7 linked regions of the Zea mays genome follow. The main gene of each other region encodes a partner of the protein of the gene in region 6 in a complex. Links are inferred from orthologs where the notes say so. Each region holds a gene or a part of one and is shown on either strand. Other genes may lie near its edges. The genes, in order: Mediator of RNA polymerase II transcription subunit 31, mediator of RNA polymerase II transcription subunit 18, Mediator of RNA polymerase II transcription subunit 13-like, Mediator of RNA polymerase II transcription subunit 32-like, Mediator of RNA polymerase II transcription subunit 28-like, Probable mediator of RNA polymerase II transcription subunit 26b and Mediator of RNA polymerase II transcription subunit 33A.

The links.
Region 1: Probable mediator of RNA polymerase II transcription subunit 26b (region 6) and Mediator of RNA polymerase II transcription subunit 31 share a complex: the UniProt entries of both Arabidopsis thaliana proteins name them as parts of the mediator complex. The link is inferred for Zea mays from reciprocal best matches to the Arabidopsis thaliana genes AT5G05140 and MED31.
Region 2: Probable mediator of RNA polymerase II transcription subunit 26b (region 6) and mediator of RNA polymerase II transcription subunit 18 share a complex: the UniProt entries of both Arabidopsis thaliana proteins name them as parts of the mediator complex. The link is inferred for Zea mays from reciprocal best matches to the Arabidopsis thaliana genes AT5G05140 and AT2G22370.
Region 3: Probable mediator of RNA polymerase II transcription subunit 26b (region 6) and Mediator of RNA polymerase II transcription subunit 13-like share a complex: the UniProt entries of both Arabidopsis thaliana proteins name them as parts of the mediator complex. The link is inferred for Zea mays from reciprocal best matches to the Arabidopsis thaliana genes AT5G05140 and GCT.
Region 4: Probable mediator of RNA polymerase II transcription subunit 26b (region 6) and Mediator of RNA polymerase II transcription subunit 32-like share a complex: the UniProt entries of both Arabidopsis thaliana proteins name them as parts of the mediator complex. The link is inferred for Zea mays from reciprocal best matches to the Arabidopsis thaliana genes AT5G05140 and MED32.
Region 5: Probable mediator of RNA polymerase II transcription subunit 26b (region 6) and Mediator of RNA polymerase II transcription subunit 28-like share a complex: the UniProt entries of both Arabidopsis thaliana proteins name them as parts of the mediator complex. The link is inferred for Zea mays from reciprocal best matches to the Arabidopsis thaliana genes AT5G05140 and AT3G52860.
Region 7: Probable mediator of RNA polymerase II transcription subunit 26b (region 6) and Mediator of RNA polymerase II transcription subunit 33A share a complex: the UniProt entries of both Arabidopsis thaliana proteins name them as parts of the mediator complex. The link is inferred for Zea mays from reciprocal best matches to the Arabidopsis thaliana genes AT5G05140 and RFR1.

What each region holds. Positions count from the first base shown.
Region 1 is NC_050096.1:207,962,300-207,966,294, forward strand, and holds the start of Mediator of RNA polymerase II transcription subunit 31, read left to right. Parts: upstream 1-1,195; 5' UTR 1,196-1,270; intron 1,271-1,393; 5' UTR 1,394-1,425; coding exon 1,426-1,555; intron 1,556-2,033; coding exon 2,034-2,130; intron 2,131-2,206; coding exon 2,207-2,285; intron 2,286-3,995. UniProt on the Arabidopsis thaliana protein: Component of the Mediator complex, a coactivator involved in the regulated transcription of nearly all RNA polymerase II-dependent genes.
Region 2 is NC_050100.1:126,532,858-126,537,080, forward strand, and holds mediator of RNA polymerase II transcription subunit 18, read right to left. Parts: upstream 2,801-4,223; 5' UTR 2,411-2,800; intron 2,217-2,410; 5' UTR 2,207-2,216; coding exon 2,171-2,206; intron 1,404-2,170; coding exon 1,304-1,403; intron 1,231-1,303; coding exon 1,173-1,230; intron 1,105-1,172; coding exon 748-1,104; intron 646-747; coding exon 543-645; 3' UTR 279-542; downstream 1-278. UniProt on the Arabidopsis thaliana protein: Component of the Mediator complex, a coactivator involved in the regulated transcription of nearly all RNA polymerase II-dependent genes.
Region 3 is NC_050104.1:30,374,727-30,378,778, reverse strand, and holds the start of Mediator of RNA polymerase II transcription subunit 13-like, read right to left. Parts: upstream 2,801-4,052; 5' UTR 2,336-2,800; coding exon 2,312-2,335; intron 1,770-2,311; coding exon 1,696-1,769; intron 1,581-1,695; coding exon 1,441-1,580; intron 1,339-1,440; coding exon 1,252-1,338; intron 1,155-1,251; coding exon 1,067-1,154; intron 972-1,066; coding exon 888-971; intron 354-887; coding exon 276-353; intron 177-275; coding exon 97-176; intron 1-96. UniProt on the Arabidopsis thaliana protein: Component of the Mediator complex, a coactivator involved in the regulated transcription of nearly all RNA polymerase II-dependent genes.
Region 4 is NC_050101.1:142,578,410-142,582,166, forward strand, and holds Mediator of RNA polymerase II transcription subunit 32-like, read right to left. Parts: upstream 2,520-3,757; 5' UTR 2,401-2,519; coding exon 1,957-2,400; intron 714-1,956; 3' UTR 501-713; downstream 1-500. UniProt on the Arabidopsis thaliana protein: Component of the Mediator complex, a coactivator involved in the regulated transcription of nearly all RNA polymerase II-dependent genes.
Region 5 is NC_050103.1:84,916,337-84,919,954, forward strand, and holds Mediator of RNA polymerase II transcription subunit 28-like, read right to left. Parts: upstream 2,469-3,618; 5' UTR 2,323-2,468; coding exon 2,133-2,322; intron 1,699-2,132; coding exon 1,586-1,698; intron 821-1,585; coding exon 686-820; 3' UTR 501-685; downstream 1-500. UniProt on the Arabidopsis thaliana protein: Component of the Mediator complex, a coactivator involved in the regulated transcription of nearly all RNA polymerase II-dependent genes.
Region 6 is NC_050103.1:106,778,747-106,782,934, reverse strand, and holds the start of Probable mediator of RNA polymerase II transcription subunit 26b, read right to left. Parts: upstream 2,801-4,188; 5' UTR 2,043-2,800; coding exon 1,446-2,042; intron 1,359-1,445; coding exon 1,290-1,358; intron 1,192-1,289; coding exon 1,109-1,191; intron 908-1,108; coding exon 852-907; intron 767-851; coding exon 645-766; intron 545-644; coding exon 517-544; intron 424-516; coding exon 41-423; intron 1-40. UniProt on the Arabidopsis thaliana protein: Component of the Mediator complex, a coactivator involved in the regulated transcription of nearly all RNA polymerase II-dependent genes.
Region 7 is NC_050097.1:165,234,306-165,238,305, reverse strand, and holds the start of Mediator of RNA polymerase II transcription subunit 33A, read left to right. Parts: upstream 1-1,200; 5' UTR 1,201-1,348; coding exon 1,349-1,668; intron 1,669-2,300; coding exon 2,301-2,411; intron 2,412-3,148; coding exon 3,149-3,493; intron 3,494-4,000. UniProt on the Arabidopsis thaliana protein: Component of the Mediator complex, a coactivator involved in the regulated transcription of nearly all RNA polymerase II-dependent genes.

The sequences.
Region 1 (3,995 bases), on a different chromosome or scaffold from region 6:
CCGGTGTCCCATCTGGCTAGCTCTGCCAGATAGGCAATGATGGCGCCCCGCTAGCCCTGTGACGACGGCGGCTCTCAGCTCCCTTACGGAAGCAGGGGAACGTCAGCAAGGACCCAACCGCTCCGACAGCTGTCCCTCCGCCAGGCTCCGTCGCTCCTCCGACAGCCACGACACCACACCAGCTGGGTGCCAAGATCTCTCCGGCTGCCACATCGGCATGTACTTAGGGCGCTAGCTCTCCCCCGCTAGACACGTAGCACTCTGCTACACCCCCATTGTACACATAGATCCTCTCCTTACGCCTATAAAAGGAAGGACCAGAGCCTTCTTAGAAAAGGTTGGCCGCGCGGGGACGAGGACGGGACAGGCGCTCTCTTGGGGCCGCTCGCTTCCCTCACCCGCGTGGACGCTTGTAACCCCCTACTGCAAGCGCACCCGACCTGGGCGCGGGACGAACACGAAGGCCGCGGGATTTCCACCTTTCTCACGCCCGTCTCCGGCCACCTCGCTTCCCCTCTTCGCGCTCGCCCACGCGCTCGACCCATCTGGGCTGGGGCACGCGGCACACTCACTCGTCGGCTTAGGGACCCCCCGGTCTCGAGACGCCGACAGATGTCCTAGAGGTTGACAATGGAGCGCGAGCATATCTACCGAGTAGGGCGCTTTGTGATGATCGATAATAGATAGATCTACAAGAGGGATTTATAGTTGGGTTAGTTTGACTATAGCAAAATAAGTCTTATCCCCTCTCTATTTTATTAGACGAGAAACGGGGGAGAAATAAATCTACGTACGTGATCCACGACACGCGAAGATATTTGGATTGAGTTAGATTAAAAAAAAAATACTTCTTTTTTATCAGAGACGATGTGAAAACTTAAAAACCAGTGCTTTACGTAGCAGAGAGTGCTTCAGAGAAGAGAAGAGAGAGTGACTATATTATTTTTAGGAAATAATACTCCCTTGATTTTTTTATTTGTCGTCGAACAAGTCAAAAATGAATTGGTGAGCGTCATATATAAAAAACTAGAGGTAGTATAATTTTAAAAAGGATTAATAAAAGTAAAAAAATTCCAACCGCACACGGCACCTCCTCTCGTCCGTTCGCCGCCTGGCTCGCACCGCTGACAGTGCGTCAGTCCAGGTCGATACTCCCTCTTTCCAAGATCCGGTCATTCTCTCTCGGGGTCGGCTACCGCCGCCGCCGTACGCCAGGTGCCGACTGCCGAGACCTTCTCCGATCTGTTTGCCGGCGAAGAGCGCCCGCCAAGTATTCCCACCCTCTTCTCTTCCCTAGTTCCCTGTCTGCTGTGCGAAATCGAGTTCTCAAAACTCTAACCTCAGACTATTTGATTAATGTGTGTACACATGTACACCCTTGTTCCTTTAATAGATCTGCCCCTGGTTTCAACCGATTGAACCCCGATGTCCGACGTCGAGAACCCTGGCGTGGGTGGGAAGCCGCCGCCGTACAAGGACCCTGACAATGGGAGTCAGCGATTCCTACTCGAGTTGGAGTTCGTGCAGTGCCTCGCCAACCCTACCTACATCCACTGTACTGTACTGTCCTCCATTCTCTTGTTTCATCTCACCTTGTTGGGATTAGCTAATCTGATGTTGCACGCATCTATAGAACGTTTTCCTGTACCGGTTTGTTACCAATTTTGATAGGGGCTGTGCTGCTAGTAACTAGCAATCCATTGCAACGGACTGAAAATTTTTGTAGAAGTGTGTGTTTGTCAGTAAGTCCCTGCTTGAGAAGGGAGCTAGGAGTGCTTAGGAATTTTTAGTACTAGCCTAAATCCCATTCTCCCCTATTCAAACTGGTCTCGTCTGCATGGGCCTCATGAGCGGTTTCTTATCAATAGGATATGATTGCTAAGCTAAGGCTGTGATATTGTTAGTAGTGTTGCTTGATATCATCATTTTGTGTGCCTCATGGCTCCTTGTTTTTTACTTGAACTTTCTTGTTCAATGCACATCATGTTTGGTACTGCATGGATGATTTGAATGCTCTTTCTTTTCCCAAATAGATCTAGCGCAGAATAGATATTTCGAGGATGAGGCATTTATCGGGTACCTCAAGTATCTAAAATACTGGCAGCGACCAGAGTATATCAAATACATAATGTGAGTGATACCATATTCAGTGGTTTTTTCTGCAACAGAGGAAATGGCTTGCTCATTGTTTTTGCTGATGATGCAGGTATCCACACTGCCTTTTCTTTCTTGAGCTTCTCCAAAATGCCAATTTCCGAAATGCAATGGCACATCCAACAAACAAGGTGATCTTTTGGCCTAGAATCACACGTTCACACTTGAGCACCGTTTTTAGCTTTTGTTTACCGTCTTGCAGTGTCATCCCTTCTTTCAAAACCTAGCTGAAGTTGCTCTGTTGGGCCATATTATTTTGACTTGCTTTCTAGAACCTATAAAAAACAGAAAGTCACACAAACTTGATATGAGTACTTTTGTAGAACTATGCAGCACGTATACTGATACATGTATCGGTATCACAAGGATACTGATACACAGATACAGCAATTTCCTAAAAATTCCCATTCATGAATACATTTTACTATTTTTTAAATAAAAGGATAATAATGCATATTAAAATGGATAGCAATCTAACAATGAAACACCACAATCTACTTAACTATTTAAGTTCTAATTAAAGCACAGCAGGTCTCAATTCTCAAATACAGTAGTCTCAAATTTAAGAAATTAATAAAAGGCATTCAGGTTTGCAATTCAGGCTCGCACCAAGTTCCTATTCCGCATTTGTCTTGCTTGTTTCATTCTCATCCACAACATTAAGCTGGAGATCACCCAAACCAAAAGACACAGCTTGCAATTCAGGCCCATCAAGGGAGAGGTCAGGCACTTCAAGGATGCCAATACCACCAAGTGAATAAAAAAATCTCCTCCCACATCCCACATCATTGTCTCTCCTGTCTTATATGCATCAGTTCTTTTTGGCAGACAAAGACCAAATCTTCAACATGCTCTGAGTTATGGCATTTCTCTTGACACTATGGATAAAGCTATAGATGAGGCTGGTTGGCTAAGCAATTTGGTGGCCAAATTCATCAATAAGGGAATAGGCTGTCCATGAGTTGTCCACAAAGTCATAGGGGAAACAGCCAATCTATCATAGATTGAGTCAGGATCATTAGATTCTTTTGAACAACTAGAGAACCTTGAGTACTCTTCTTTTACTTTATTCAATTTTTCCAGCACGCGAAAGAACTTGAAGCAATTCATCCTCATCTTTTTATATCTCTTTATTCTTGTGGGGTGGTTCATGGCTAGGAACGGGAATGGGTCGGGTCGACCCATTGGGTAGTCGACCTGACCCACAAAAGTAAGGCCAATAGGTCAAACGTCAAAGGGCCGCTTCAAAGTTTAAATTGGCTGATAGGGCCAGAACCTGTTGACCCAATGGGTAATGTAGGTCTACCCACTAGTTGCATAACAATATTTTTCTTGAATTTGTTGGTCTTCGTTATTTTTTGTTTCAAATAAACACGATTAGTCATAACTTATAGACACGTCTATGCTTGGAAGTATGTCGAGGAATATCTGGAAGTATAAATAGTTAAAATACAAAATTGCATTATTAATACTTTGTGCATCGCAGATCATAACCAAAATTCTAAAAAGTGTTAAGCCATTCATGATAACTAGGTTTGAACCATGCATGACTCCCAGCAGAATTTTAGAGTTTTGAACTATGACTAAAATATCATTTTGGACTATGACCAATGTTTCAACCATGCATGCATGCACATACAGGGAGCAACAGCCATTAGTTGGATCTGGCTATGGTGCCCAGCAGTAGCCCTCAGCCCACTCTTGTTTGCAACTGCAAGTAGGCTGAGGGAGCCGCCACTTGGCCACTTGCATTATTTGCACCGGCTAGTTACCTGGTCCGGAACCTTGTGCCCAGCTGCGTTAGTGTCCTGGCGGCCAGGCCAAACCAACCAAGCTGCAGG
Region 2 (4,223 bases), on a different chromosome or scaffold from region 6:
CAATCTTAAGTGTCATACTAATCTCCTGTCAACGTCTCGACCGATGGGTGCATCAATGACTTTTTAATGGGTGGTCTTTCCACAAAGGACATGCCACTAATATTGATAATGTTTACCATACGGATTTTGCATATCATAATGATATTTGTCGTTCCGTTTATATATTTCATACAATTTTTTTACTTCCGTCGCAACGCACGGGCACTCACCTAGTTGAAAAATATATACACATGAGATAAACTTCTTTTTGAGAAAAGAAATTATGGTTTGGATTTTTGAGAAATTTTAATATTGGTAATACTAGATTGTTACACCCTGCAACTACAAGGCAGGGCATTACCCATCAGCAATCATGCAACCAGTCAAACCAAGAGCAAGGTTGGCACAACGATGTGTCAGACATGGACAACACTAGCAGGCAAAACTGACTGCTCAAATGCTCGGCACGAAGAAGGCCACCTCATTAGCCACGCCCACTCATCTCAAAGAACGGACTTTGGCTGTCCTAGCAGCAAGAACGGACTTTGGCTGTCCTAGCAGCATTACAAGGTTTTGCCACCGCCACTTGACATGAGTGAGGCAGCAGCAGCGGCTGCTGTTGGAACGATTCCTGTCGAGTGTCCTGGTTTTGACAGATGCAGCAGCCTGCAGCAGATTTCCAAGGATTATTAAAACCAAAAAGGTGTTTGGTTCATTCTTATATGTTTTCTGATTGTTGCCTCGGAATTCAAGCTTTGGGGTACTTACGGGGCAAGATATTCACAGAACGCAGTGACAGCTGAAACAACATCATTGTAATTATCAGCAGCAGCAGGAGCTGTGATTTCCACTAGCTGTATGGCAGGAGTGACTGGCGTAGCTTCATCGGTTGCATGGAGCCTTGACATCTTGTTAGCAGATGTAACAGTGACAGTGATTTGGGCACCTCGGTGGAAACGAAATGCAAAACCGCTCTTCAAGAGTTCATGGTCTAGCTTGTACCCTAGGGTGTAGAAGTAGTGCAAGACGTTCTTGCTAGCTTTGCTCTCCACAACTGTACGAACCAGAACTGAGATTTGCTCCGCACCAGCACCTCTCATGGCACCACCAACATGTCTTATGGTCCTACAATCTTGTCACAATTAATGATAAACATAACAAAAGGTAGACTTTCAGCAGCTTGTCTCGGTTACCAGGATGGTGTGGGCTGAGCTAAGTCACACAACAAACGAACCTCCGATGGGACAACACCTGTATGATTGCAAGACGTCAGTTAATACGCCACATGTGTAGGAATGGAGGAGTAGACTAATCACAAACTAACCTAGATTGGGCCCACTTTTAAGGCAGAGCTCATGCACCCTAAAACGCTCTTTCGGGACACCAGAGAGTCCCTGGAGTAGAACCTCAAGAGCATCGACATGCTGCAAAATGGAAAGATCAAACAAAGGTTAAACTAATGGCAGAGCAGTACAACAAAGAGCAACTTACATTCTGTGCACAACACATAAACTAGAACATACCAAAAAATTAAGTTCCTCTCTATTGTAAAAGCACAAGGATAGATCATATGTTCCCCCAACTGTATATTAAATGTTACTATTCTGTTAACATGCTGAGAAGAAAAAAAACAAATGAAATCAAAAGCTCCAGAAGTAGTGCCTTAAAGCGCGGAATAAATTGTTGACATTTAGTGGTCTACATGATCTATCTATTTATCACTTCAATAAAATAAACTTTTGTTAGTATTTATCTGTGATGGAGTAAACAGAAAAGTGACCACCAACTGGCAACTATGGATAGTGGCCATACCTAAGGGAGCTCAACTGAACACTAAAATGAAGCTAGATTGTATGGTGCGTAAGCTCAACATTGTGCACTGTACATGTACATCAATATGAGATTGTTTTGTCCACAGCAACGGAATTCAATTAGTAACGAAATGTTCAACAACAAATTCAATACTATAAGTATATACTTACAAATAGATATTAACAATCTATACACCATTCAAAATACTTATCAAATCTAGATGCAAGCAGTGAGAGGAAAAGTTAATGTCTGATCTGCATAACAAAATAGACTGCACTAACGATGATGAAAGAGCTCCTATCTTTCAAATGTTAGTGGAATGCGTGAAAATCAAATTTTACATAAACCATCAGTGCCAACTTGCATTGTGGCACAATACCTGGTTCTCGATGATTCCCTGCACCACGCACTCCATCGATCTTCTACTGTCCCACAATGATTTTGCACCCAAAAAAAAAGAATCACGTTAGTGGATTTGTTATATGTGTATCAGGGGTGGACCAGTATGGCAGTAAAAAACAAAATTAGAAGTTAGTAGACATCAAATAGTTAGGTTAGAGTTCGGGAACTCGTTTTCGCACAGCGGGTAGAGAGAAGAAGGGGGTGGGAGTGGGAATACATTGAGAGCGTTCTTCGCCAGCGAATAGATCAGCGAAGGGCGTGGTGCCTATGGTGGCGACTGCGGTAGCCCGTCCAGTCGTCGCAAAGAGAGAGAGAGAGAGAGAGCGCGCGCGCACGCGGTGTGAAGGTGACGGATGCGGCAGCGGCGGCGGCGGCTGTAGCCCAGCTAGGGCCTGATCTGGGAAGAGGGAGGCTCGATAGGACTGAGGCACTGTCGGCGGTGCGAGCCGTGCGGCGCAGCGTCGACAGGAACAATGGTGGACGCGACGCGAGGAGGGAGACGGGAACGACCGGACGAGGGAGCCAGGCAGTGGACGGCTGGGCTTGAGCAGGGAGGTGGGCTTGAGCTGGGAGAGTTCACAGTCTCGTTTGGAATGATCCAAATTTCGTTTCGTTGACTAATCTTTTATTTTTTATATTGTTATATTTTGAATCAAATCCATTTAAAACGGACTGAAATTTGTTTTTTTGGTTAATAGCGAAAACGAAAAAAGTATCAAAATTTGGTGATCTCGGACAGAAAAGATAAACCGTGGGCTTGAGTCAGGATTGTTCAGCCTAGTCGCGGTGCGGGGGTTGTTCAGCCTTATTTGTCACTTTTTTTATTTTAATTTTGATAAGACCTAATAGGTTACTCTAGATATGTTATCACTTTACCTTTTTATTCCTAAATCACTTGATAGTTTTACTATTTCTTTACATGGTTTTGGGTTAATATTTCATTATATCCATGTTCCAATTATTTTGTTATTTTATTTTTATTCATGTCAAGATTATTATCTTTAATTGGAACATAGAGCTTAACTTGAGAAACATGTGTCACCACAAGAGAGGAATGAGACCCCTTGACTAACTAATTAGGAAAGCTAGTGGAAAACTACCTTACCCGAAAGGGGCAACGGCAGTAAGAGAGTTACATGCAGAGAGGTTCTCGGTTGATTTTGCTGCGATGGCGGTCAGACGGGGGATTCTTGCAAGTCGAAATCTAGTGGAACTTTATAAAGGCCTCGTAGTGTTGCCCTGTCTCGCTTCCTTGGTAGAGGTGTATGAGAGTCGCGATCCCTTGGTAGATGGGTAACATTACTTGTGGATACAGGGTACAGCCTCTGTAGAGTGTAAAACTGGTATACTAGCCGAGCTCATGGTCATGAGCAGCTCAGAACTGTCGCATGATTAATTAATGGAACTTAAATTCAATTTGTCATTTGCATTGCATGTGATTACTTATTAATTTTGTTCTATTATTTATTATGGTTTGGTATTTACTTACACTTAGTAACTGCTAATAAAATTTTGACCAACTTATAAAAGCAATGCTCAGCTTCAACCTTTATTTTGTTGATCAGCCTTACACTTCACATGAACTCTCACCTTTGGTGAGTTCATGCACACTAGTTTCCCCACAACTTGTTGAGCTATGATCATATGTGAGCTCACCCTTTCTGTCTCACACCCCCATAGGAGAAGAACAGGTGGTTCAGGAGGAGGCACACAATGAGGAGTTTGATCTAATCTAGGTGGCATCTCCCAGTTGACTTATTGGCGCTAAAGATGGATTTTAGTTCGATTTATATTTATCTTTTATTTTGTAAGACTTCCGCGATGTAATAAGTACTCTGATGTTATTGTGACATTTATCTCTATACACTCTGTTATTATATATGTTGTCTTCTTTGGCACATGTATGAGATGCATTCGGCTTTGTTCCTTAAATCCGGGTGTGACAGAAGTGGTATCAGAGAAAATGTTGACTGTAGGACGAAACCTAAATAGAAATGGACAAAACCCTTTCCTAATTACCTTACTCTGAT
Region 3 (4,052 bases), on a different chromosome or scaffold from region 6:
AAAAAAATAAAGGAAGTCTGAAGTCTTTCAAAGCGCTGCAATGGTACAACAAAAGAAGCAAGACCTCAAACATTATTGAGGGATGGAAAACAGTACCTGGAAGACCTTCACCGATGGAGGGAGGAGAATGAGCGAGAACTTTCTCTATGTCATCACTACAAAGGTTCCGAACATACCTTGTAGAATATTATTTAAAACAAGGTCATCACTCATCAGTACATATATATACTGAAGATCAGCAATATATCAAGCATTCGTGAGCATTAAGTACTTACCTAGCAGATATTACAACGTGAACAAATATTGCTTCCTCGGTGGCAGCAAAGACAAACTCGACTGTAGGCTGTGCTCTCCTAAAATAATAATAATGAGAATAAAGAAATCAGGAAAGGTAGAGTCCTTGAATACTACCAGCTGTGGCAATATGCTCCGATACAAGATAAGGTAGCCAAATGATCTCTTCAGTTAAAAGCATCAACAGTTCAACACATCCGCATATCATATAATAAAGGTTAACAAAATGGCACAAAAATCATTGCCAAAACCTATGGTGAAAGGAAAAACAGCAGATAAGTTATATATAGTTACAGTGCAGATTGATGATCCAATTAGGTCTGTTCAAAAAGAGTAGTGTATCAATATATAAGCAAAAGCCTATCTAAGCACAATAGTAGCAGGATCCATTACATATTTCATGTCTCACATAGTATATACTATATATTTTTAAGAGCAAAACTTCTGCTGTCATTTGTGATAAAGTGAGCCAACATATCCTCCAAACCCTCACAAACCAAGCATGGAACTTTAACTGACAGCTTATCGTGCATTGATAAGTGGAAAAAGAACAGAATAAGCAAATAAAAGTGTAAAAAACTTTGCTAACAAACCTAAAGCTGTTTTGATTTCTTGTAGGGGGGTTGTATTTTGTAAAAACATCACCAAACCTTGCATATGAAAGCCCTTTCAGTGATCTGCACCCCAAAAAATACAGGGATATTCATGTCCAACCAGCAAAAAATCTTGGTGATTTCTTTCTGCATCAAATATTAAAGAACTACAAGAATACCTTTCTAAAGAATTTCTTAAAGCCTGTGATAGTGCAGCTGCTACCTCTTCCGAGTTGCCTGGGGCTACCCATAAACCATTTGAAGCAACTACAGAGCAAAATAATAAGCAGTAGAAAGATGCAATACATAAGCACTGGGACATTGGATTAAGACATCACAATAAAAAAAATCAACCAGAATTAACCTCTCAGCTTGTTTACAGCAGGTTGGGCGATTTCAGATACCGATGAGTGGCAGCCAGGAAGAAACAGCCAGAGCTTGATCTTCTCATCTGTAATTATAGCAAAGCCATGTGGTATACATTATCCAAGCCCAAACTTAAGGTGAAAGAAAAATAGATAGACATTTAGAAGCCAATACATATGATCATTACCAGGGTTATGCTCTCCTTGAGATGGATCCCATGGACCAACAAAGGAATTAGTCCAAGTACTTAGAAAACCTTCACTTTGTAAGTGAAGATAAGCCGAAAGCACAATGCTATTAAGAGCATCTTTCTGCTCGACCTTTGAACTGAAATAAGAACGTGTATACACAAAACAAGCAAATGATTCCAAACATAAATAACGAATGCCCAAAGACAACTAAGATAAAGCACAAAAGGCCATCAAAGAAGCATATACAGCACCTTTTCTCAGACGCTGCACTTGCATCGGGTTCGATAGGAAGAAACTGAAACCAAGAAACTGTTTGGAGCTCCCCCTGTTAGGGAAAAATATAACAATGAGAATCTAGATGGTTTGAAGAGGTATGCCAGTCATGATATGAAAGCCTGGGTAGTCAAATTTGCTGAATGGCCCAAACAAAAAAATGAGTTGCAACTTCTGGGTTTGACAATGTAAAATGTGTTGGCCTGAGTTGTAAAAATGCTCTGGTCACAAATTCATGGCATTTCTTTCTCTTCGAGGTCTCGAGATGCTTCTTTAGAGATTGTTTTTTCATCACAGCATATTTGCGGTACTTACAAAGGAACTATTGCTTCGGATAATTGTCATATAATAACAATGACATTAAGAAATGCATTATGTTGCTCAAATTGGAAAGAATATCAACTTGAAATGGCTGAGAACCAGATGATGTGAATCACTTAGCGAGAAGCTACAATCAAATAAAAAACTTAAAGCAAGCATATTCCAAAATGGAACAAATTGCCAAGTTTTGGTGCTGCACAAATGGAGCCACATCAGATAGTGAGAGAATATAACAAAGAGTGGGGAGAGGGGCAGGAGTAAGGTCTGACTTACTATTTTGAAAATGTTCGTCCACATAGTTACTGCCAGGTTCCAAAAAGCGGCACTAAGCGCACGCTTCAGCAAGCTGAAGCGCTAAGAGGACGTGTAACGCTTCGCTTTGGGGCATAAGCGCTCCCAAAGCGGCGCAACCCCTTTGTTGGAGCAGCGGCTGCTGGCTCCCGCTGCCCTCAGGCCGCGCGCGGCGCAGCCTGAGGGGTCGGGCGCCGTTGACGATCCACCGGAGGCGGGAGGAGAGAGAGAAGCACGCACGCAGAACACCGGCCGGTGTGCGGAGGACCGGAGGCGAAGGCGCGAGGTGACTGATGAGAGGCGGGAGGGGAAGACGCTGACGCCGCCTCTACGAGCCCGAGCCTGAGCACCGCCGCCGCGGCTAAGAGCCCGCGCCTGAGCACCGCCGCCGTCGCCTGCGGAAGATGGAGCGCCGGCGCTGCGTGGAAGACGAAGATGGGAGATGCAGTGCCTTCGCTGGGTAAAGAAACGTGTGGGTCTGGTGGAACTTGGGCTTACGCTGAATTAATTAGATGGGGGAGATGGGCCACCAAATAAAAGTTCATACTATCATTTTTCTCTTTTTTTCTAATGTTTTTTTAACACATCGTCACATAATTCAATACCCGTACGTTGTGACAGCGTATAAATTATTTGATAAATATTAATACACAAAATTATATAAAACGAACAACATATAGATTATCAACCCTATATCTCACAAATTAACACTAATGACATGAAATTTATGTGCAATTTAAATAGTAATAAAATACATTGATATGCAAAAATATTATATGTTATTCTATACTTTTATTATTATCATCAAAAGTGGACGTTTACATATCTTAAAAGGTATATAAGATTGTACATGTGCTTTGTCATTGATAAAAAATAAACGATGATAAATATGTAGCGAATATTAATCAACACATTGATTCTATAGAAGGATAGTATTATCATATAAGTCTCGTGAGCATCCAGGTAATGGTATCGTCGAAATTAGGAAACAAAACGATAAAAGAGGAACAACAACAACAACTGGGCACATACTTGAACAACATACCCTAATTAGTCATGCCCATTAGCAATTACCATGTACTTAGCATTGTCGGACTTTTATGAACTTTATGAGGACTCAATAGATAATTTTAAAAACAACGTCTCATCTCTCACCTGGAAAGAGAAAAAAGTTGGATATACTCTAACGCGATCAGAAAAAAATGAGATGTACGATAATGCTCAAGAAATAGATGCTAACCTTAGCTCTTGTCAGAATAATCTTGCCGGAAACAAAAATCAGTAGCACGATTTTTGGCTGCTTCATTCGATAGATCAAGCCAGTGAAGAGCTTTCCTTAATAATGGGAAGTGAAAGGTCGAGCAAAATGTGAGGACAGTAGCAGGAAAAATCAACAAGGTGACTGAGAGAATTATGTTAAAAAGGATGAGGAATGTAACTTATTCTTAAATCAATTCACAATTAAAATAAAGAGAGGCCAGAAATTTGTGTAGCAACCTGATAGATGAATTGGGAAAAACAGTGACACCCTTAAATCAATTCACAAAAGTGTGAAGATAGACATGGTTGACTCACAATTAAAATAAAGGGAGATCATGGATCTGTATAGCAGACTGATAAATGAATTGGGAAAAAATAGTGACACCCTTAAATCGATTCACAAAAGTGTGAAGATAGACAAATGTGACACAACACATTTTCTTCCTAATTCAACAATTTACCG
Region 4 (3,757 bases), on a different chromosome or scaffold from region 6:
GTTCCAGGTCTTAATATATTCTTAAATTAATCGACCAGATACTCAGATCCTTTTCTCACATGATACGGAGTAGTATCATTCAGCATGTTACATTTATCAAAGTCCGGTATACTTATGGAGCTAATATTTTATCTAGCTCTATTTTCTGAATTTGGCATTGGTTACAACCTTTAAAGTTTCTGTACAGATTATCTCATTTCAGCTCTATTTTTTAGGTACACTGCTTATATTGAGTCAGTGGCCAAATTTTAACAATCAGTTGTGGTCTTAATCCATGTTACTGTTGTTGGTATGATAATGCACTTTGCTCACCATATCATCTATGTTTTTGGTATGATAATGCGTTAACGCGTCTTAATCCATGTTGGATGTAAACGCATGTTTTTTCTGCTAATGCTTCCTCTGTCCCAAATTATAAAACATTTTGGCATTTCTAGGTTCATAGCTTTTGCGTATCTATACATAATATATTTCTAGGTGTGTAGCAAAAACTATTGATCTAGAAAAGCCAAAAAATCTTATAATTAGAAATGGAGGGAGTAGTTCATAGTCCTCAGCCAATTCTCTTGAGTGCAGCCATCAAATTGTGAAATTGTACTTTGTCTACAGATCCTATAATATCGATACAAACAGATTATGACATCTCCACATTTCTGCTTACTTCCAATAGTTTATCAGCATACTGTCATGTAGCATAGTCAAATCTTTTTTTTCTGCACATAATAGATTAACATACATTTGAGATACAGTGATGGGCATATCTGGTTTCTTGGTAACCATCTTACTAAATTACTGTTCAATTCAGTTCGTGCTTTTGTGAAAATGACTAGTGAATATACTCTGAGAACAATGAAAACCAGTACTGCTTTGTTAACTCAAATATCATGAATCTGTAGGGACCATAGCAGTGGTGAATAAAACTTTGGATCTATAGAACGATAAAGGAACTAAGGTGCTGTTTGGTTTATATGTTTGTAATGTAATAGGTAACAAATAACGTTAAATCATGTTTGTTTAAGTCCAACTGTAATTGGATACCACACTACAAATTGATACCAGCCTATTCAAACTTGTTACCCCTGGTAATCGAATGCAAATCATTACCGTTACCATTTACGTTACATTTTAGGAACCAAACGGCACCTAATTTAAGTCGTGAGTTCGAAGCTCATCCCTTTCCTAGACCCCACTCGTGTGAGAGCCTCCAGCACTGGATCAGCCCTTTTTTAGTTTTTTTGTCTATCTCAAACCAGGGATCCCAAGTTCCCAACCTTATCTCTTCACTCAACAAAAGAGTTGACTCAAAATCAAAAACTGCAACAACCAATCCCCATACACTGGCTGGTCCAAACAGGTACAGACTTAAAACTGGCGCAGCATTATACCCCCAGGTTTTTTTTTTCTGGTCATCATGTAATTAGATCTATATACCTCTCATGCTTTGTCACGACACTATAATTTTTTTTTATGGAGAGCAGCATTTTAGCAATCTGTGTAAAGATTGGGCAATAACCAATGGGCATAAAGACATTAATGCTGAGTAGTAGTATATCTCAAAATGGAAAGGTAAAAACAACAGCCAGCAAATCGCAATGATTTAGGTGCTGTTTGGTTCAAAAAATGTAACGCAAATGGTAATGGTAATAGTTTACGCTCGATTACTGGCGGTAACAAATTTGAATAGGCTGGTATCAAATTTTAGTACGGTATCTGATTACGGTTGGACTATAACAAACATGATTTAACGTTATCCATTACCCATTACGTTACAAATATATGAACCAAACGGCACCTTAGTTCATGTTCTTGCAAATATCAACACGCAAGGTTAATGCTGTCACTCATAGAAACACAGCAACGACAAGTTCTTTGTTTTCTATTGAAGGAAAAATGCTACAATTTTCATATGAGAAGGGCGATGCTACTAGTTTAATTCAGTAACTCCATAGTCCATACCTACTGGGCACCCTCCTCCGGGTGTTGCCCTCCAGCGCCGGCATTTGGGGTAGCGGCACCGCCACTGCCGCCGGTCCCTTGAGCAGAGGCGCCGTGCTGGAGCTCGATGACGAGCCATCGGACGGCCTTGCTCATCTGCTCGAGGCGGACGGCGCTGATGGGCTTGATGCCGGGGGCGGCAACGGATCCGGCGGAGGCGGACCCCGTGGCCTCGTCGACGAGGCACTCGGAGCCGATGCGCTGGCGGATGGACTCGACGAGCTCTTCGGCGTGGTCGCAGGCGACGCGGAAGATCTCCCAGCGCTGCTTGAAGGCCTCGAGCGCGGCGTCCGTGGCCGCCGTCTTCTTCTCGCCGCCCGACTGTACGCGGGCCTCCACCACAGCCGCCGCCGCCGCCATGAAGTCGTCGTACGCCGCGCTCAGGTGGTCCACAGTCGCCTCCATCCCTCCCTCACCCCCAGCTTCTGACGATCCAATTCGGCCTCAGCCCCCAATTCGACACGACGACCCCGAAACCGAAAGCAAAGCGTGAAAACAGGAAATGCCGAAATGGCCCAATCGATATCGGGTCGAGATCAGGATGGGCCTTTTTATTCGACATACGCATCTGGACCAGGGCTAGAGATTGTAGGCATGGATTTTTTTCTAAAAAAATAATATTGTTTTCCCAGACCGTATAGTAAATAAATTCTAAAAATTACATTATTGGACGCGTGTTGTTGGGAAGCTCGCGATCAATCGTGCGGACAGAACGTAGGAAGTGGCGGATCCAGAGCTACTATACGTGGTCTTTTTTTTACAAGACTCTCGTTTATCCTAATTGTTTTAGAATTAGAATCATCTTTCTTCTGGTTCTTGATGAAAAATTTATCCATCCTATTCTTATAAGCATGGGATTACTACCAAATAAATAATCAAATCAAAATTTCAAATCAAACTTAAAGCAAACAATAGCACATGTTTCACCTTCACTGCTTGTCTGCTTCACAGATCACAGCTTCACCTTCGTTGCTTCTGCTTCGCAGTTCGCATGGGACGTCCTATTCCTGCATGATCTGTCACAGATTAGCAGAAACTCTCTTGGCCTCCTATTCCTTCATCGTCCCAAACTCCCAACAGAACAAGGAACCCCCAACAGAAAGCTTGGAGGGGCATTGGCACACGCCGCACACCGCGCATGGCATTATGGCAAGGCCATACATCACTGGCTGTCTGGCTCATCACTCCAATGCAAGAACAAGCTAATAGCTAAGCACACTTTCTTCTCAGCGCGTGTGTACAAACCTGAGCTCCACGAATTAGCAGAAGGAGGGAGCGCGGAGTGGCGGCTGGACAGCGGCGTGGTCAAGGCGGTGCTCCGGGCGGGGCTAGCGGCGGTGTTCCGGCGGTCCGGCCTCCGGGCGAGCGACGCTGCGGGTTGCAGCGGTGCTCCGGGCGTCGGGGCGTGGGCGGTTGGAGGCCTGAAGCTCGTGGGTAGAGGGAGGAGGAGCGACCTACGACTGGGAGGCTGTTCACGCGGTCGCGCGGCTGGAGCTGATGGGCTTATTCGCTGATTTTTGGGCCGCGACCGGGCTGCAGCCCAGGCAGCCCCAGCCTCGGTTGGAGATCCGCCACTGAATGTAGGAAGAGCTGAGTGGTGTGTTGGCTTACTGCTACGATTGTCCCTATTGATTGTGACTCTGATTAGATAGTTCTAGACATGTCATCTGGCTTGACATGTAACCAAATGGGTGTGTTATTATCAGTGAATCACTCTATTAATACACAATACGTAGTATATTAAACGTTACCGTACATTGAA
Region 5 (3,618 bases), about 22 Mb from region 6:
CTCATCCAATTATCTCCAATCCATATGAATTGTGATGACAAGGATTATGTCCTTAGGTCTTGTTCATTTTATAGCAAAATCATATGGATTAAGGTGTATTGAAATGGATTGAGAAAGATTTTGACTAGTAGTGGATTACTGAACAACCTGGCAGTGCACCTTTAGGAACGGAGATAAAACACAAAGTGTTTTTTTTCGCTTGCTCGTGTATTCAACGTAGCAACTGTGCCACTTGGCTCGGCTTTTTGTCAGGAGAAGGTTCTGTTCGAGCTGATCCAGGCACAAATGGAGTAAAGATAGAAAGGAACTTGCGAACATGGCGGCCATCCAGAGTAGGCACATAACCCGCTAGGCTGACTCCAACAGTTCACCCAAAGTTTACCCATAAATTCACCCAAAGTTTACCCATAAAGACAGGAAGCCGTTAGCATTCTATGTCGTTTTATGATGGCAGAGACTCATTTTGCACAACAACAGAGACCATGGGGCAAGTAAAGGTACACAATCAAACATAGATAAAGTGGGCTTTGTTCGTGGCTTCCAACCTTAAGAAACCAACAAAAGGCGATTGCTAACCATGGCGTCAGATTCTAAGCACATGTACACAGTTTTATAGGGCATAACATAACATTTGGTCACCTAGAGGTTCATGATCACTACAAGGTAAACCGCAGAATCGCACTCCTCACACCCTTTCAAGCTCCGTGATGTGCTTGCTCAGCTGCTCCTTCAGTTCCTTTTGCCACCCTTCAATCAACTTCTTGTGCTTGGCAATGAGCTCAGACTTGCTCTTCAACTCTTCCTCCATTGTCGTAATCTCCTGTGCAATGCAAAACCGAACATGCCAACGAGATGATAAATATTGGGTGGGTATATGTATCCCAAATTCCTAATTAAGACCAGCAACTATGCACCTGTGATTCTCTCAACTACTGCAAAGGCATTTTTTTACAGAAACGTGTGCATGAAAAATTCATGAGCACAGAAGGTGTTAGGTGTATGAATGTGATTGGGTGTTCCTTGGGAACATTACTTTGTAGAAGTGACGATTCAGGCAGGCTACCAGTTCTTTCAATAATGAACACCTCAACTTCGAGTAGAAATATAGGAGTCTTTGTAATAAAGCTTATACTGAGTGTAACAAACTGCCTGTAGCAAGTAGCACTATGTGATTTATAAAGTTGGCTATTCCTAAGTATAGTGCCAACCACAAATGATCACAGTACTTGGGATGATCATATCATGTGAAATGTCAATCCTATCACCAATGAAAACTTTTAAGGGAGTGTTTGGTTTGAGGAGTCACTCAATCCAAAATGATGTGGTGTATAATGAGTCCATTCCTCAAATTTGCTGGGATGACCTTATTTCTCATATTAGTACTAACTAACTATAAGGAATGACTCCATTCCTTATTTCATTCCACAAATCAAATAAAAAAAGAGAAGTGAGAAGACGATGGACTAGCTCATTCCTCAAACCAAACACTTTATAATTAATTCATTCTCCATAACCAGTCCCCAATTTAATTTAACTACTATCCTTGCCGCACTCTTAACTATACGAGGATAAAGTAGAAATATACCTTTCGAAGCATCTCTTCTGCAGATGGCGGTTCCTCACGCTGCAGGCTGATGAAATAAGACTGGAGCTTCTTGGCAGCCTCCATGAAATCCCTTGCGTGCCTCTCAACATCAACTGCCCAATTTAGTAGAGACTACAACACTTAGATACCCTGTTTGGCAGGAACGAATGAGAAAATGCAATTAAATTTCTCTAATAAGCATTGCACACTATTAAGTCGGTATCTAAAAATGTGATTTACTTCTTTAATAAGCATTGCAATGTGATTGCCTGATTGGTACAGTTGATACAAGTTGAGTTCTCAGTCTAGGACCTAAGAAACCAATCGATATACAATTTCCTGGGCACAAGAAAGATGCAAAATCTTCCTCTAGAAAGAGCAAGATCCCTTTATCCATCCCGTAGGCAAAACAACGAACATGTGGCGCGCGACGGCGCCATTAACCGACCGAACACCATGAGACTTTACTGGTGTCGAAGCCGTGCCGGATCAAAGTGAAGCTACCTCTAGAGGAGGAGAGTGGGGAAATGATGGGGGTCGGCCGTACTCTGGTGGGAGGACTGGAGGGAGCGGTCGACGGCCTGGAGCTCGCGCGCGGGGAGGCACGGCAGCAGCGCGGCCTCCAGCGCCGCCACACACGCCAGCATGTCCTCGAGCCCACCCGCCGCGGGAGTCTGCTGCGTCGGCGGCGGGGGCGGCGTCTGCGCTGGCGACTGCGACGGCGTCGGCTCAGCCATGACGGAGAATGCGGAGAGAGGACCCGGAGAGATTGGGAGCGCTTGGGCCTCCGATTTGCTATTGACAAGGAGGAACTTTCCGTTGGATTGAAGACGCACGGCTAGGATTGGTTTACAAATGGCGTGTTCTGCGCCTGGATAGGCATAGGCTCGAGGGCTGAGGCTGCCTTGGCTGAAGGAAAGCGCATAGTTTGTTCAGGCTGACAATTTTCTGAAATATTTTTTCTTTTTTATAATAGCACACTTCTTCATATTTTGGTGCCTAAAATTTAGGCAACACTCTTATATACCACTGATTGCTAATAAAGGACCATTTGGATCCTTTTATTTTCAAAGAATTGGAATTTACTCCCTCCAGTCTTCAAATATTTGATGTTTTGGACATGACCTCATATACCAAGGAGCTATTAAATAGGGTTGTTATTTTCCATAATACCCCTAATAAATACGCTTAGATTCCACAACAAACACATGAAGATGTTAGCCTAGATGGTTGGGTCCTAAAGAATTTTACACTAGGTCGTGAGATCAAACCTTCACGATAAGAATAATTAAGCATATGTGGAAGAATGTGTGAACCACTTATATCAAGGGTATATTAGTCCAAAATAAGCTTCAAATGCTTCAACATCAAGCATTTGCTAGTCCAAAATAAGCTTCAAATGCTTCAACATCAAGTATTTGCATCCAAAGTGAAAATCACTTAAACATCAAGTATTTAAAGACTGGAGGGAGTATTTAATAGAGTAGGTTATTTGATTTGAATTTGATATTACACCACTTTCCAAAGTTTAGATATAAACTCATCTCAAATTCATAAGATGGGGTGGAAATTGATTTTATGTATTCAATTCTACGTTTCTACTCTGTAATTTATAACACACTCTTCTACTCACTCTCCTATAGTAGAAATGTAACATATAAATATCTCTCAAATATGGCCAACACTAATATACAAATATACTCACTATAAAACCATATTAGTTTAATTGATTTATGTCTAAATTACAATTATTATATTAGAATTCAATTCCAAGGGTCCAAAGGGGGTCTAAGACTATAATTTTATTGTTTACCTTTATGTTATAACCTATATTTTTTCCCTTAGCTAACTACTAAAATAATTGCAAAATGTTAATGGTCTTTATGTCAACACAAATCAAAATCTACCAAATTTATGATTTTGTTCAATAGATATTTTATTCTTAAGAGTAAAAATGTAGATTATGTCTATATAAATTACAACACACTAAAAACTAAAATTCAGGTACCTAAAATTTAGTAAATCACTTAAGG
Region 6 (4,188 bases):
ACCATCGTCAAAAACATGTGCCTTAGTTGCGTGTACTTACATCTGTCTGGCTTGCCATAGGCTTTCTCTCGATAGCAACATGCTCTCGAGTTTGTTTAGGTTTCATGTCACCAAATGGTCTCTGTTGAGCTGCCTTTACTGGTCTCCCCGGTCCAGATTCATAACTTGAGGGATTATTAGACTGCTTGTTGAGCGCACCGTGAGGTTTGGCTTGCAAACTTGAACTTTGGAGGGTTTGTGGGTTCGCTTGCCTCATTGGTGGCTCTTGCCTTGCCAGTTCTAGCCTCCTGGGTTGAACTCTTTCGACGACTCCAGGATAAGAGCGAGGTGGATCTTGCCTTGCAACCGTTGAATGGCTTGCAAGTCTCCCACCATTGTTACCCCTCTTGTTTCCAAGGCTCGGGTCATTACTATGTCTCAAATCTGGCACCGTATGCGCAACGTTAATAATCATCATAATGTTAAAACCAAGCAATAAGCATGGAAAATTAAGAACTGCTAAATTGCTGTACTCACTTCCATCTTCATCCATTTCGTCAAAGAACTTTAGGTTGGGGAGATGGGAGGAAAAACAACAGACACAGAGTCAGATTGTTGTTAAACACAAATCCCAATCAGATGGCAGGAATTAACTATATCAGTACCTCAGAGAGTTGAATAGAAGTGGTTTGGGTGGCAAAGAAGGCCCCTTCGTCCAAAGGTGGAGATGGAAGCCCTTCCTCTTCTTCATCCACAACAGAAGGATTTGAAGAGCCAGGGGAGTTCTCTACAGCACCAAAGAACAAATATCCATATTAAGCTAAGATGCCAGTCTTCATTTAGAAACTGTTAGATCAATTCAATTCAGTTACCTGTCAGGGCAGCATTTGTGGTACTGACCCATTCATCAACCAAAACTTTCCAACCTCTGAAACACACAAGGTAACCTCATATGTCAACAACATTTCCAAGAACGCTAGCAAGAAGGCACTTCCAATGATTATGTAGCTAATCTACAATTGGTTGGTTGATATTTGATCAGTGATTTTGGTCTGCTATTAAGCACTTTGAAAGCAACAGAGAAGTAGCACTAGGGACCAAAATTGACAGAAATGAAGATGGAACTTACTCAATGAGAGTGCACACGAGGTGCCGAATCTCTCGTGAGTTGTGTTTCCGCAGCCGATTAACAGCTCTTCCAATCTCAGTAGCCTGCAATGAACAGTCCTAAGATTAAGAAACCAAACAGCCAGAGCAAACAGGGATCAACACATCAAATAGCTCATATGTACGCAATATCCATTTTGTACCTTTAGCGTAGAGACGGACAATTGCATCAACTGCAGCCTCCTCAGTGAATCGAACAAAGTGGCATCCGACTGCAGGAACAACATGATTTAGCTCAGAGGAATTCGAAGTTTAAGGACCTTATAAATAAATGAAGAAACGAGGCAGTCTGCCAGTACATGGTCTTCCTTGTGCAGGAGGAGTTCCTTGATGCGGAGGACCTCGCCGACGATCTGTGACTCCTCATCGATCTCATTGGTGAGCGCCTCGAGCTCCTCAGCGTCGTGGTCTTCCTCCCCTTCTTCAGTATCATCCGCGGCATGCTGCTGCTCATCTTCCTCCTGTTGGTCGCCATCTTCGTCATCATCATCGTAGTTGTGGCCATAGTTGCTCGCTGCGGCGCGGCGGAGGCGCTCGTCGTCAGAGTCAGAATCATCGTCCTCATCGGCGTGGCCATGGCCATGGCCGCCGCCGCCGTGGGTACCGTTGCTGCTGCTGTCGACCTTGCACTCCTTCTCGGCGACGCGGCGCACGCTGCCCTTGTCCTCCTCAACGGGAGTGGCCGGGGTGGTGGACGCCGCGGCGCTGCCGAAGGACGGCGGCGCCGCGTCGCGGCGGAGCGCGGTGAAGAGCCTCTCAGCGATGCGGTCGCGGCGGTGCAGGAAGTCCCGCGGCGCGTCGGCCGCCGCCACGAGGATGGCGTTCTCGATGACGTCGCAGATGCCAGCGCCGGCGCCACGGAAGAAGCCGCGCCACCGATCCAGCCCGTCGGCCATCGCCGCGGCCGCCACCGGTCCCCGCCGGGCCACCGTCGCCAAGATCAGCCTCCCCCGACCGCGATTCTCAGCAGCGCAGCCAAGGGCCGATGCTCCCCCTTCCTGCTTCTATCTGCTACCAAATTACGCCGCGCGCACCGGCACCAGAACCAAGAACCCAATCTCTCCCGCCCGCCCAACGGCGAATCAGATTCCCCCGAATCGGGGCCGGGGCAGGGGCAGGGGCAGGGGCAGAGTCACCAGCCAACCGATCGAGAAAACAGCGGAGGAACAAGAGCAGGGCGAATCCGGAGGCGGAAGGGATCGATCGCGAAGGAAAAAAACTAGCAGCGTGACCTTCCTCGGGCCCCACGTCCCCGTTCCTTGTCGGTTTCAACAACCTCACCGGGAGGGAGTTCCAGCGCGGCGCGGAGGTAGCCTAACCAGAGCAAATCTTATCTGGACTGCCTGGCTGACCCCTAGAGCGGAAGGAAGCGGGGAGGAAACACAGGGAAGGTGAAGTTGAAGACAGGAAGGGGATGACGATGAGACGGGCGGATAGGGACGGGGAAGGCAGGGTGCGCACACCCACGAGACCTACGCGGCTACTACTACCAAACACCAGCAACAACTAGTCTTTCTCCCATGGCCCATGCCTCGCCACCACTAGCAGCTGCAATTGCGGTAACAAACTGCAATTTACCAGAAGAAGCGAGCGAAGGGCAGCAGGACTCGGCCGTACTCAACCCGCAGGAGATGGCGGAAATGCTACGGGAGATGGGTGAGACGCGGCGTGGCTGATTCTTGTTGCGGTCGACTCGGGCGTCGGGGGGCGCCCTTTCCGGTCTCTTTCCTTCTCTCTCTCTCTGTGTTGAGGAGCAGTGCTGCTAGGTTGATGATGCTCACTCACAAAGTCACAGGGTGGTTTTCCATCATGATTATTGTTTAGTTGCGTATAATCTGAACTATTTACTATTTGGTAAAGCATATCTCTCTCGGGCCATAATTGCAAAGTCATTTGCGTACCGACTACCGAGCACAAGTATTTTCAGCACTGCACACAGCGTGTCATGTCAAATGGATGGGATGCCCTCACAAGCTTTATCATATATTTTTATTCTGTTTTCTTCATGTCGTATTTCAATGTTTAATCATTAATTTTTTTAAAAAATCCATATAAAGTCGGAACATGTACAATGTGTGTTAAATAAAAAATTTATTGTAGTGAATTTAATACAGCTTGGTGCGTGGTACTTGTTCTAGTTGATAGGTTGAATGAGACAATAAAGACGTAATTCTATATGAAACAACTGACGAGACATGAATATAACTTTTGAAAAAAAATGCTTGTCGTTGTAGGCAACTGTTGTGCATTTGTTTTTTAAAAAAAGACGGAAGACGAGTTTTTTAACACAGTCGTGCGACGCGCTGCACCTAGTACAGAGCAGGCTCTCAAGGTGGCAAAATCGTAAGACACAAGAGGTCCGCGATGCTTTGCAATACATGAGATGAGGAGTCGAATGCTATACTATAGGTTTCGCAATACATGAGATGATAACCCATGGTCGCAAAAAAACAAGAACGATAAGAATGGGTGACGGTATAATAAGTAAGATTGAACGAAAAGAGCGAGAGAGATGGAAAGAAAAAGAAGAAAAAAATCCTCTCCGGAAATCTCGGGAAAAGAAAAAAAAATACTATAGCCATCAAAATCTTACACCAAACAATCTGATGAAACTATAATAAACAGCGAAAGAAATGCATCGTCTGTTTTTGCAGTGTTAGCATCTTGATCCGAGCATCCTGGCTTATTCCCACGCCGCGCATAGATACTCCCATTTCAAAAGTGGCATGTGTTTCATGCTTTTTGTTGAGAAGGAATTCCGTCTCTGTATTTTGTCCCCTGTGCACTGCGTGCGCATCTAGCGTCTCCCACCAGTAGTGTGGGACAGTGGCTGGCTAGGGTTGTTTCGAGGTTCTTTTTTTTATTTTCATTTTTTTTAAATTTTCTACAGTAGTATGACTTACGCGGGTGTTCCATTTTGGAGTGGCTGCTGGGGTAGCCGAAGGGCCAGTCGTGTGTCCTTTTCACTAGCAACCATATGCTGGCTTCGTGTAGCAGCAGAGATAGTAGGAAGGAAAAAGGAAATGGAAGAGTATATATTAA
Region 7 (4,000 bases), on a different chromosome or scaffold from region 6:
TCACGATTGAAGTAAGAGTGTTCTCATTTGATTTTTATTGTGGTTAGCTGAGCAAACAAGGGGAGAAGTTGACGGCTTATGAGCACTGTGGCACACAGCTGCTGTGCTCGCTGGATAAAAAAATTTGGACGAATAAATAAATCAGTCACAAAAATAAAACTGGATGAGAAATAAATCAGGACAAACAAATCAGCGACATAAACGAAAAATATGGACAAAAAAAACAAATAAGTGACAAAGACAAAAAATATTAAAAACCACCCACCATGGGGCTCGAACCCGCGACCACAAGGTTAAGAGTCTTGTATTTTACCAATTAAGCTAGACAAATTTTCTATACAGAACAGAGCTCGGCGCCATGATCTATGGCGCCGAGCTCGGTACCACGTCGGCCCCACGACATTCGTTTGTGCCAACGCAGCACGTACCTCGGCGCCATAGCCTATGGCGCCGAGCTGTGTTACCTCGGCGCCACAGGCTACGGCGCCGAGTAAATGGTCAAAAATGACATTAAAATTTTCTAGGGTCTAAATGTGATTTTTTTTCCGATGAAGGACCAAAATGCAAAAAATTCGGAACACACGCATACCTACCGTCTTCTCCTACTAGTACTAAAAAGAGAGAGAGATTTGTTTGGCGGAGAGCGAGACAGAAAAAAGTAGTACCATATCTGCAGGTGAAGTGGTCAGGCTGTGTCACTGTCAGTTCCCACTCACTCACTGACGCCGTAGTAGGTGAGCGTGAACTCAACGGCCCAACTCCGAGGGCCGAGCCTGACGCATCGCCACAGTACCCAGCCAATCCGAACAGGACGACGGCCGGCGTGGCCACCGCGCCGCGAGTTGGGCTGCCGGACGGACGGTCGGTCGGCGGGGCCCGCCGCGCGCGGGCTGCAGCAGCAGCTTTTTTCCAAACCGCGAGCGACGAAGTCAAGGGCGCCGGGACCACGTGTCAACGGGTGGGGGCTGGATCACGGCAATGGCACCACCACGCCACTTGGTGTGGGACCACACGTACCTCCAGGATCCGCTGCGGCCAGTGGTAGCCTGGCGACTCCATTTTCTCTTGGTTGGAAAGCTCGGTCACGCAGAAGATCCTGAAGCGGCGGCCCCACCGCGAGGTGGTGCGGTGGGGGACTGGGGGGAGAGGTGGTTACACCAACGGGACGCCATCAGCATCATCGGCGATCGGACCACCACCAAACCAACCCAGCAGCACAGCACCTGCAGGGCTGCAGCAGACACCACTCCAGCAGCCTCTCTCTCTCTCTCTCCTCACCGGCACGGCACTCCACGCGGCGGCAGGAGCACCCACCGCCACTGACGGGCGGGGGGGAACACGCGCGGCCATGGCCACGTCGGCGCCGCCACCGTCCTCCGCGCCGTGGCTGGAGTGGGCCGCGGAGTATACCAAGGCGGCGCAGGCCGAGGCCCGCCCGCCGCCGGAGTGGGCGGCGCGGGTGGCGGCGGCCGCTGCGGCGGCGGGCGAGAGTGAGGACGTGCCCTGGTCCGCGGGGCTCGCGGAGGTGCTGGCGCGAGCGCTGTTCCCCGGCGGCGGCGGCGGCGGTGGCGGGGCTGCCCCGGCGGCCGCCGCTTGGAAGTACGCGGAGGCCGCGCTCGCGGCGCGGCTTGCGTCCCCGGCGCTCCTCCTCGCGCTCCTCTCCACCAGGTGCGGTCCGGTGCTTCGTGGCGTCGGCTTGTGCGTTGTGTCTGTGGCGTGGTCCGTGGCGGTTGGTAGGATCGGAATGGCGGAATGCAGCGCTTAGCTGTCGGGGATCTAAATCGAATCAGTTGCACCTCGAATGCACGCAAGCAGTTTTACGACGTGTCCGGTCAGGTGTTTGCCCGTACACGAGTTTTACCAGGAAGCTGACGTGCTTCGCCCCGATAATTTGAGGGGGCGGAAATACGCTGTGTGGCAGTGTCATGTGTCAATGCATTGCCAAATGACAATGTGGGTAGATCACACCATGGGAGAAATGCCTGTTTTAAGAATATATAAGCAGTTGGACACTCAGTCGGTAGGCTAATCAGGGCTTCACTGCAATCCTCGTCCAGTTTTTTTTTTCAAGAGAAACAGGGTCTTGTAATAGCCAACACGGTTAGTTTGACCTATGTTTTGGGACTGGAAAAGTAGTTAGATTAGCGTGTGGCAAATCCCACTTAGTACTAATTATTTCACTGGCTGGTATTGCTGTCGTGCAACGTGCTTGGATTGTGTGGTGTGTGACCTTATGATGGAGTTAGGACTTTTCTCAATGTTTATTCTTATGGACTTCGTTTGTTCTTCGGGTCCTGCAGGGTAATTCCTCACCGGCTTTCCAGGCCAATGGAGTATAGACTCTACCTTGAGCTCTTGAAAAGACATGGGTTCAACTTCCATCATCAGATGAAAGCAGCAAATTTCAGAAAGTGTGCCTTTCCCCTCTCTGACTGCTCCCTGTATTTTCTTAACACTATGCTCAAGTCAGTGGTCTGGAATGAGAATCAGAGTAATAGGTGTAGTGTTCAATGTAATTTAGCATTATTCTTAATGGCCTTAAAAATAAGCATTTCAGTTTCAGGTGTTTGTAATTGTAATAAGGTTTACACTTGTATATACACCTTGTTGTGTGATGTCTCTGTAGTGGATTAGTGGTCATATCTTAATGGCCTTAAAATAAGCATTTCAGTTTCAGGTGTTTGTAATTGTAATAAGGTTTACACATGTATATACACCTTGTTGTGCGATGTCTCTGTAGTGGATTAGTGGTCATATCTGTCATTTCCAACTAAGGGCCCCAACTTTTATATGATGGAAAGTCTACTTGTCTTGCAGTAATGCATGCAACTTCTCTTGAATTTGTCAAGGCGGCATTTATTGCCGAAATTCTTCTGGAAATTTTCTTATATATCTTTTATACATTACTTATGTTCTTCACTTCCTAATACTTTGCACTGTTATTGCTCTATAACTTTAAATTGTTTTTTGGAAGTAAGAGTGTATGTGCTTCCATGTGGTTTTTAAGCTTGTTCCTTGCACTGTTATCTATTCATGCACTCTATCCCTATAGAAGTCTCAAATGCAATTGAAAAAAGGGCCTGTCTTGCAGTGTTAAATTTGCTGGAGCAATAAGAGATCCTTGCTAAAGCCTCTCTAATGTTTGCAGGATCATGGATATAATAGAGCGGAATCTTAGACTTTCCAAGATATTTGGCATCTCTACATGTGAACCAGGGGTTTTTGTTGTGCATTTCATTCTTTGTATTATATGGCAGTTGATTGATGTTGTTCTGGATGATGAGGGCCTACTAGAGTTAACTCCAGAGAAGAATGCTCAATGGCCAACAAGGCCTGAAGATGTGAGCACATTTGAAGGAACTTTTACTGAACAAAGAACTGAGAAGATCAAAAAGTTACAGAAGATGAACACTGTAACAACTATGGAGCTCATTGAGCATCTTCTTCGCGATAAAGTAATTACTCGTATCCTATCATTGGCACGCGAAAACATGTATGTCTTTTCAACTTGAAGTACTCTTTTACTGAATTGTTTCAGGTCTTTATTTTTGAGCATTTGGAAATGATGAATTCATCTTTTTGCTGATTGGTCATTAGTAATCTGTTTTCAAATATATTAGTCAAATAACAAACTAGATCTTCATCTCATAGGCTCATGACCTCATAAACTTCACTCAAGCTTATGGAGGAAGCCTTGGTTTATTCCTGTTTGTGTGGGATTTGGGTTTGGGGAGCTACAAATAATTGCTCAAGATTTTGCCAGTAACATAACCAATGTATCATAGAATATTCTGTGTATTTTCTCTAATGCAAACATTTAAGATAATGTTCTAGAAGCACTTAGGGTTATGCAAAAGGAAAAAAGTACAACTGTCTATGCTTGTGGTATTTTATTCGCCTTACCTCTTAAATAGCCAAGAAAAGTTTTGATAAAAACGGCAGCCATGGGACTCGAGCTTTGTCATGATCTGATGAACTGATGGGTGAATGTAAACATCAA